Arabidopsis thaliana: one gene and its partner. The protein of the gene in region 2 interacts with the protein of the main gene of each other region in a pairwise test. Each region holds a gene or a part of one and is shown on either strand. Other genes may lie near its edges.

Region 1 (6,025 bases), on a different chromosome or scaffold from region 2:
GTAATGGATTAGATATTTTATATTTACAATTATAGTAAACATATCTCTATAGGAATTTTGAACTATTGTAGAGAAAAAATAACTTATTACCAATGCATAAACAAATACTCTTTTTGGCATCTTTTCGGGTATCGAAACAAATAATTAGTTTTTAAAAAATAAGTCTGCAAATGGTTACATGCAAATGAATGATTGAAAAATATGAATTAAACAAAAATAAAGTTGGACATTATTCAACTCATTACAAATTTCTTTTATAGTTAATTTATTTTTCTAACTTTTTTTTTGAATGGGTTAAATGAATTTTTCAACTTATTCATCTCAGATGGTACGAAATGAGATGAATGATTATTCAACTCTTTCAACTTCTTATTTTGAGACAAAACATTTGCACCATAGTTTGTTCTTCAATTTAAAAGATTCACAGCAGACCAACTCCTTTAATTTAGAGTTTGTTTGGTCCATTATTTGCATGTCAAATGGTTTTCAGAGTTGGATCAACTAAATTTATGTATAGCACAAAAATTTTAATGATAAATAGTAGATCATAAAGTGAATTCAAATAAATTAAAAGGCTCGTATTGACAAGTAAAAAAAATAAATTTGGTTAGATTATAGATTAACCGGAACAAAACAATAACAAAATCAAAACCCAAACGAATCCCATGTATAAAAAAAATTACAGAAATTAGCGTATAAATTATTATTCTTTTTTATAAGACACTTATTAGACTCAAAAAGAAGGTTCAGGATGAACAGCAGAAGCAGCTGCGTTATTAACGTGAAGAGCTCTTTGAAGTTTCCGGTGATCGAACACTTCAACTCCAACGTTAAAAATCGAAGTCACCGGCCGGTGATCGGACATTCTTATCTCCGATCTCTTATAACATTCTTGTCTTATTCCTTTTCCTAACCATAATATCCTATCACACCTATTAATAACACCAACAAGATAAACAATTTAAGAATCACCCAAATGTTTCGTAAATTTAAAAATAACCACATAATTTTCAAATGTTCAATTTAGTCACTTACCAAGCAGGAGCTCTCTTCTTCTCCGGTTCTCTCAAGTTTTCTCCGGCGTAACGATCAGAATCGAATTCGTATTTATAGGTTGGAGGGAATTTAATCGGTCCTTCTCTCCATCCATCAAAAACATGCCCTCTTCTTAATTCTCTAATCAACTGTGTAATTAAATTGAAATCTTGTTTTAATAACTTAACATAATAGTCTAAATGTCTAATAGATGAAAATAAACTTAACAAAGTACTATCAAAACTAAACATAATCAAGAACCGAACCTGATCACTGTTCTTGAGCTCATCCCATCGTTTTTGTGAGACAAGCTTTCTTACTTCACCGTCTGACATATTAAGTCGGTAGTTCAAATCTCCGAACCAAAATACTTGACTGTTGAAAATTTCCGACATAAAAATTCAATTAGTAAAAGCAAAAAACGTTTAATGCTTTACGTTTTGTAATCTTGATTATTGCTTACTCGTGACATGGAATCGTCCTTGGTTGATCAGTGTCAAGAACCGATGCAAAACGAGTCCTACGTATGATTTCGTACACGTCAGCATTCCGGCGTTGCTCAGCACCGTCTTTGTGGCCGGAAGTTAAGTGTGAGCACACAAAACACATCCGTGATTGATACAACGTCATGCTAATCGACACTGATCCCTGCAAGCATATCAAATATATTAAGAAAGTGCTAAAAAAGTTAAGGTTGGGGTTACTTGGAGAGGAAGATAGGGTTAGGTTTTTGTTTTACCTTGTTTCCCATGTAGCCCATCAAGCCAACTCCGACCGGTGAGACTTTCAGGTTGTTGACATGTCTTCTTAACCGTCGTCGGATCCAAACCGATACATAGATCCCAACCATTTGCTTACTTACTATCCTTACATACTTTTGACTATCTTTCACTTTCCGACACTCCTCCACCAAATCTTCCGGCAATCCATAACTATTTCTGATCTTGTCACCATCCTCTTCGTCCTGGGAAGACGAATCTCCGTCTGATGAATCATCATGCATGATTTTTGCAGCTTCTTCCGCTTCGGACGAGGAGGAGGACCTATTATCAATCTCTTCTTTTATATCATTCCAACTCAAGTTTAAAGTTTCAAAGCTCCGTGAGCGTTTCAATTGTCTTGCTTCCGAAGCAAATCTACTAGCTCCTGATGGATTCTCCGGTAGCTTAAATCCTAGCGTCGCGTTGCTGCTAAATACCCTCCTTAGCTTCCCCTCTGATCCAACTATCTGAGGGTTGCTATCTAAAGCTAGTTCCGGCCAGTCCATGTTCGGATTCCGCTGTGGTTCAAGGCTCGGTAAAGCGGTTGCAGCATCGATGAACTCGTTTGTAGCTAAATCCAGCGAGTGGTCCGCAACTAGATTCTCTACCATGACATGAGAGATAATGGAGTTTGCTTCTTGTGCCAAGATAGGAGACGACGGCGCGCTGTGAGATCTATGAAGAGCGTTGTTGTTGCAGCTTGGCGATTGATCATAAACTGATTCTTTATTGGATTTGTTTAGTGTTCTACGAATTATCGATTCCCATTTCGGAATCGGACCTCTATCTTCTGCTCCGAAAACGTTTCCAGCGTTTAATGGAACCACTTCTTGAAACCTATAACAAGTTTTACATCAATAAAGATATATAGGTTCATCAAAACAGAGGAAAATACTCTGTTTTTGAGAAGAAGAAAAAAAAGAGTAAATTTTCTTTGAAAATAGTAAAATTTGAAGTGACTTTTTAACTTACCCGATAATGTAAATATCTGAAGGATTATCAGTAGAGAGCCAATCTTCAATCTCGAGATCATCGGAGGGACGTTTTCCGGCGACGTTCCATGTAGCCACCGTCACTCTATAAAGTAATTCCACCATAAATAATAAAGTCAGAAGATATTTCACCGGTAAAAAAAGAGAGATGAAACTTCCAGAAACACCCTTACTTGATATCCTTTGTGTTAATGTATTGAGCTCTCAAAGTCTCCGATTTGCCTCGCCGGTGTTTCCTTTGGTAACCACCCCTCACACTCACACCACCATCTAAAGGATTAAAAAAAAAAAAAAAATCAGAAAATATATTATTATTCTTCTGTTATTTTATTTGTGAAAAACCATATTTTTTATTCAAATGATTAATGAATGTAGAGATTTTTTTAAAAAATTCAATATAAAAATTTTCCAAAAAAAGAAATAAGAATCGTTGCCTGAAATATTATTGCCGTGATCAGCTTCGCTACCTCGACGACCATTATGGCTGTCTTCATCAGTTACACAGTGAACATTTGGGACGTCTTTGACCGAACATACTGTAAAAGGGACCCAACAAAACAATTAAGATTAAAAAACACGGAATTATAGACCAAATTTGACCTAAATTTCAATACTTACCATCGTCTTCGCTCTCAGGTTCTGTATCAATTTCGTCTTCGCTAAAATCGTAAACTTTAGGTTTTCTGTTTAACCATTTATTCATCACAATTGATGGCCAAAACCTCTGTTTTACATCAAAGACGAGAAAACATCAGAATCTTTGTAATCAGAGAATTAAAGAAACAAGAATAAAAAAGAGAGAGAATCTTAATCTTGTGTACCTCAGGACGTTTCCCACGTCTTGTTTTCATCTTCTTAGATCTCAGAAAAAGATTTTGTTTCTTTGGGGGAGTTTCGAGGAGAATTTGAACAGAAGAAAATGTCAGAGTTTGATATTTATAATAGTGACAGAGAGTTAAAGAAGAGACACGAACTAGAGCAAGAACAAGAAGAAAGGACACAAAGAAAAAAAAAGTGGAGAGTACAAACAAGAAGACGTGTGAAGGCAAAGGCAAAGGCAAAAGAAAAAAAAAGGTGTAATGATGAAAATTCTCTGATATTATTTTTTGGGTTCGTTTCGAAGAAAAGCTATGGCTGTTATTTAACAGCCTTCGTTGCCCGTAAAGAACCAAACTGCAACTTGCGATCCACTTTTTTTATTCATAATTTGATTTTTTGGGGAAGACATATTAAAGAAAACTATAAAGACTGTCAGATTTAATTCCCTGATTTCTTCTTTCTCACACGTGTTTTCGGTTTTTGGATATATTCGAACCGACCTGGTTTTCTCAATTCGGTTTTACTAGACTGATTGTACCGACCATACCGAATTATTATAAATGTTTACTTCATCTTTTAAGATAGTGGCATTTAGTTAAAGTAAACCGAATCAAACAGACAGACTGAAACTTTTTTATAAAAGTTAACCGAAATTTTAATTTATCTAAACATTTTTTTTTTTTGCGTATACTAGTTAAACTGAATTAGCAAAAAATGGCTCGTTGGAAGTCAAAACTATATTTTGACAAGCAGTTTTGCGGAGTAAAAGTGATTATTTGAGAATTAGTTTTGCTGAAATACTTTGACCTGACTTAAGTTAGTGGTTTGCTTTAACCAAAAATCTAAAACACATAAACCAAAACCAACCAAAATCCGATTCAACGCTGCTATCTGGATAATATATTAAATAAACGGCCTTTTTGGTATGTTATTAAAAAGGTCAAAATGTCACTCTCCTAGGCAACAAATATATGGATTAATTTTTTCAATACGAGTCTAGCTCCAGCTAATATTTTCAGCCATACAGTCGGCGAATAGATAGATTATTTATTTGACTAATGTTTCGTTAAATAATATTATACGATAACTATGAATTGGAACCATTAGAAAACAACGAAAAAGTGAGAATCCCTCACATTTAAAAGTCTTAAAATTGTCTATATCTTTTCTTTGTTAACTGTTATGTTTTAACTTAAAACATTTCTAAAACTAAATTATATTTCCAATTTCCAAAACAGGTGAATTTGAAGGATACTCAACTGAGAAGATATAAAGTATGGAGTCCAATATGGTATGGAAATACATAACTTTGAATTTCTGACAGCATATTTGTAAAAAATATTTACCAAGAAATATCTAATTAATAACTGAAGATTATTTCAACTAAACATAATCATCATCATAAAATAAATTGACGCGTTATTAAGAAAAAAGGAAAAAAAAACTGACGCCCATGCAATGCAATTTGCGGATAGAGGACGTAACGAAGGTCATTAGGAAAGTTTCGGTTGACCAAAGCTACTTAAATAAATTAGTTTGATTCACAAAATGGCGACACGACGACGCTGGTTGACCATAAAATAGTTAATGGGATAAAAAAAAATACAAATACTAAAAGCTCAGTGGGAAGATTTAAATATATTTACTTATCATCAACTAGAGCGACGGGATAACTAATAAGTATTTGGATAAATTAATTCATAATTTAACCACTGTTTAAGGTTTACGTTAAATTTACTTCTTATCATATTGCTATTTTTGTTACTCTAAAGATCGTTTGTTCATTGTTGTTAATTAATTATCATCAATTGCTAATTTACTATCTATAAGGTTATACATCAAATGATTTTTGGAAAGAACATAAACTTTTTTTAGTTCGAGTCCATTTGATATTACAATGACAATCTCAAAAAAAAAGATGAAAGGTTGATTTCAGAGTTGCAAATATTAGACTGTCACTTTAAAACTTCATTATTATTATATATATAAAAAAAACAAATAAAATTATACAACAAAGATTACCACTTTCCAAAATATCATGTCCCTTAGATATTTTTAGAAAGAGGGTAACATTATATAAAGTTAACCTTTTAACAAAAGAAACAAAATTTTATTAAAACATTCAAATTAAAAACTAACAAAATATATATCGGTAGGAAATTGATAATTTATTTATATTTGATCAGGTCGGTCGGTCGAAAATATTCAAAATGTGGGTTTTCTATCGTGATCTGTAACACATTAATAATATGAAGTAATTAATACATTTAAATTTACCAAATCCAACACAAATATTAGATACGATTGGTAGGCCGGTATAAAGGTACATATGGACCACATACCTGTACGCGCACCCATAAATAAGGAGACAATTATTCCCTAATTAGCAGTATTATAGAACTAACTTAGAAATTTATT
Region 2 (3,816 bases):
AACATGGATCCCAGGTCAGTGTTTTTAACCCCTTTCATCTCTGAATTTGTAGTTGATTGTTCAAGTGTGAAACACTGAAAGTTGCCTAGTGTTTACTGATGTTCTGTAATACGTATGGCAATAATGGACAGGCAAGGTTTCTGTTAGCAAAGCTAAATCCGTCAGCAACATACAACAATGCAAGCGAGATGAATGCAGGCTCTGATATAATCTTCACGGATGATGTCAGTCTTCAAGTCTTCTTCCAACATCTTCAGAAATTGGCTGTTCAATCTTGAGAACACAGAGGTCTCTCTGTTCTTCCATTTCAATTGAGACAAGTTCAAATAAAGAAGATGCAGTCGTCGCTCACCAAAATGCCTCAAGTGTCTTACATTTGTTATACACACACATGACAAGACTACGCTTCTGTTCCTTTCTTTTCACTGGGGCCTTTATTTATCATAGTGTGATTCAACAAATTTTGTAGTTTCCATTTGGTCATAGTATTATCATCTTTTCTCTAAGGTTATAATAACGATTACCCGCAGGGTCATAAAAGATAATGAACTGGAGTCATGAAGACGTAATATTTAAAACCACTAGACGACACCATAATATACTACTTCAAGTGTATTTTACATCTTATACACATGATTCGAGGAGGGCTATACAAAAGAAAAGCTCGATCGCTTATTTATTTATTCTTCTTAAGTTGTCTATTTAAGTATAACTTAAACGAAGACTCTTGGAACGGACTCAACCGGCTTTATGTCAACCTCTCGCAACTCCAACTTCAGGCCTTTGCCTCCTCCATTTGCCAAGGGATGGATCCCATGGTCTGGACCCTTCATATAAGCCCTTGACTCTCGCTCCTTGTCTATCGATACTCCAAATTGCTTTTCCGTCTCTGCGGTCACCCATTGAACATTTCAAAATGTTCATGTTAACTTTCATAAAAGCATATTTGACTAAGCATAACCTATAAATGACAAATCTACGTACCCTTGATCATTTCCGGATAAAGTTGTCCGTCTCGAGTAACAGCCATCATGATATTAGGCAAGCCAATGGGAAGCTGATGCCCCAAATCGACTTGCCAGAAATGGTAAACTTTCCCATAAGTCTTGGCGACTTTTTCGAGATCTTGCCGTTGAATAGCTTCGGGAACACCGGGCATGAACAAGAAGCCTCCTTTAACTTCCCACTCGTGAGTGTGCCAAAGCTTCTTCTCATCGTCAGGCAATGTCATAAAGAGCTTCTCTGTCACAATGTACTCCAGACCGATCAGACGAGCGTTGGCATCAGGACCGTCGTAGATCAGACACTGGCGCATGTCTTCGTTGATGTGACCACAGAAATGGTGTGCCTCCACTTGTCGGGTCATGTCATATGCATAGAAATGAAACCTATGACAAGCGCAAAAAGGAGAGGATATATATAGTTCATCTTTTTACTGATGCAAACAAACTCATATGAAATAGTTAAGTTTCATTCTGCATGCATGTACACAACTCCACACGTGTTCACATCGATTAAAAATTCAAGAAAATTTGATTAACTTGATTTACGTAAGATATCAATACAATGTTTTTTAAATCTAAACTACAAGAATTTGACAGATCTATTAAACGAAAAAATGTGGTGTAGGTTTTATACTGTTATGATTATCCCTCATTCTTCCGATCCTCTTCTTTATTTCTTGTTTAAAGATAAAATGAAAAGAGAAGATTAACAATTTCAGAAGCGTACGCGCAGAGATGTTGGTGGATTTGGTTAATCGGAGCGAAGCTTTGTACGGCTGAAGCTGCCGTGTCAACCATGGAGGTTCCGGTCTTCGTTGGCTCTCCTGGAACCTTGGGTCCATTTTTGGTGGATAAATGAACTGCCTTCTCCATTACACCAATCAATTAATTCTCTTTTCTCTGCAACTTCTGTCTGATTCTTATAACTAGCAGCAAGTGAATAAGAAGAGACGGTGTTTGTATAGCTCTCGTCTTAATAAAATGAAGTGGGCATTTGCATGGACTATGACACATGGCAAACATTGAAGGTGTCACCGAGTGTGCGTGGCTTATTTGGCTTCACTTGAGGATAATAAGCAACAAGGACTAGTCAATATGTGTCAAGAGATCGCTGATTATGATAGTGAAACAAACTTGGTGAAGACAAATATGGTGATACGTGTAGACGAGATTTTAGGGTAAAAGGTAAAAAATTATTGAAGGATTGTGATGCACGCAAAGATCAAACCCCTTATGACATCTGAGCTTATGAGGCAAACGTACACGAGTATTGTCTAGGGTTTTCAGAAAAAAAGAGGAAAACTCATATTCCGAGTCCACAGCTTCTGGGCTACATGCAGACTCGTCTTTGTTTGACAAAACACATCCGTTTGACGCTACTAGACAACATGTACATTCGAAGTTGTGAATCTTCCGATTAAGCTTAGGAATCACGATAAATTGATTCTACCGATTAAGCTTAGGAATCACGATAAATTGATTGAGCCATCCACTTCAGATGCAGCTGAAGCTTGCCCGTTTTGGATTCGTCTAATGGGTACCAGTCTTTGTACTCCTCTTCCATTATAACCCTTGTCAACGTGAGGATACATCTCCCAATGTAGTCCTGTCCACAAAAGTAAAGCCACAATGTTTCATTTTTCCAATGCCCAATGCCAACACAATAAATAATAAACCAAACGAGAAAAACATCCATTTGGTGCAATGACGCAGAATAATAACCATCAAATAACAGTGTTGTTGCGGTTTGGTTTTACCTTTCCAAAGGTGTCGTGGTCCCAGACTTCAAGGACTAGCATATCATGTAACCCGTCTTCAACTACAAAATCAAAAGTCTGGTTCCATACCGGGTTCAAGCTGTCATTGACGACCTGGTGAAGCAAAATTGCCATTAGTTAATGAGGAGGATGAAACATCTATAACATGGATAACTCTTTGATGCTTTAAATGAGAGGACTTACCCGAGTTTTGCTCTTGGCACCTGATTTCTTCATCGAGAGAACAACATATGGATCAGCTTTCCCCATCAGATCTTGTATTGGTATCTCTTCTGCAGATATCACTGTCACAGAGAGAACTCCTCTTACAATGACATCTTTTCTTTTACGGCTTGATGCATTTTCTTCATCTGTTGTATCATTCTTGAGCACCCTCTCTAAGGACGTCATCGATGAAGTGACAAAGGGATTTACAATGCCGTTTCCCGAACCATAAGGGATGTAAAGGAGCTCAAGGTGAACCTAAATTACAGAGAATCAACAATAACGTCCATTCATTAGCCATGTACAGATACAAAATCACAGGGTTTATTTAATTAGGGGAAATTTATAGCCGATCTAACCTCTCCACGGTTCTTAGTATCTCTCTGGATCTCCAAATCTTTGACCAGCTTCAACCAGACGTCTTTCACTTTACCAGGTTCAAGTTCACAAAGCCGGATTTGGGCACAACCAATAAGCTCAGATGCTTGTACACCCTCGTCATCATATATTCTGACCACTAAATGTTGAGTTGACGCGTCTTCCACAACAAATTCAAAATGCTCATTCCAGATGGGATTCAGGTCATTGTTCTGATGAGAATAAATATAAATCAGATCATTCTGGTAGGTTTAGCACAAAAAGAGGATTAGATGGACTACTTACAATTGTCTTGCTTCTTTTAGTCTTTTCACGCAAAGGGCGTATAAACATTTTAGCAAAGGGGTCTGATTTTCCAACTAGATCTTTGTTGGTCAAGTTCTTTGCTTGCACAAGCTTCACCTCTAACATTCCAACAGGCTTTAGCTCCAGATCGCTGGGAATAGAAACAC

What was found. Proteins that work in one complex are often made in the same cells at the same time.
Region 1: the proteins of AT1G05510 (region 2) and IP5PII interact in binary tests that used the Arabidopsis thaliana proteins (3 or more experiments, as listed by UniProt).

Annotation. Positions count from the first base shown.
Region 1 is NC_003075.7:9,990,461-9,996,485, forward strand, and holds IP5PII (myo-inositol polyphosphate 5-phosphatase 2), read right to left. Parts: upstream 4,065-6,025; 5' UTR 3,640-4,064; coding exon 3,610-3,639; intron 3,513-3,609; coding exon 3,407-3,512; intron 3,325-3,406; coding exon 3,223-3,324; intron 3,059-3,222; coding exon 2,962-3,058; intron 2,874-2,961; coding exon 2,769-2,873; intron 2,634-2,768; coding exon 1,775-2,633; intron 1,684-1,774; coding exon 1,499-1,683; intron 1,411-1,498; coding exon 1,302-1,410; intron 1,185-1,301; coding exon 1,036-1,184; coding exon of another isoform or gene 1,032-1,035; exon of another isoform or gene 933-1,031; coding exon 734-932; 3' UTR 541-733; downstream 1-540. UniProt on the Arabidopsis thaliana protein: Has phosphatase activity toward Ins(1,4,5)P3 and Ins(1,3,4,5)P4. Seems to be involved in the abscisic acid (ABA) signaling pathway. Could also be able to hydrolyze PtdIns(4,5)P2 and PtdIns(3,4,5)P3.
Region 2 is NC_003070.9:1,627,588-1,631,403, reverse strand, and holds AT1G05510 (naphthalene 1,2-dioxygenase subunit alpha (DUF1264)), read right to left. Parts: upstream 1,959-3,816; 5' UTR 1,878-1,958; coding exon 1,732-1,877; intron 1,389-1,731; coding exon 985-1,388; intron 890-984; coding exon 714-889; 3' UTR 541-713; downstream 1-540. Other genes in the region: AT1G05520 (Sec23/Sec24 protein transport family protein), read left to right, coding at 1-14, 132-278; NTMC2T2.1 (Calcium-dependent lipid-binding (CaLB domain) family protein), read right to left, coding at 2,464-2,610, 2,762-2,875, 2,966-3,244, 3,346-3,576, 3,650-3,800.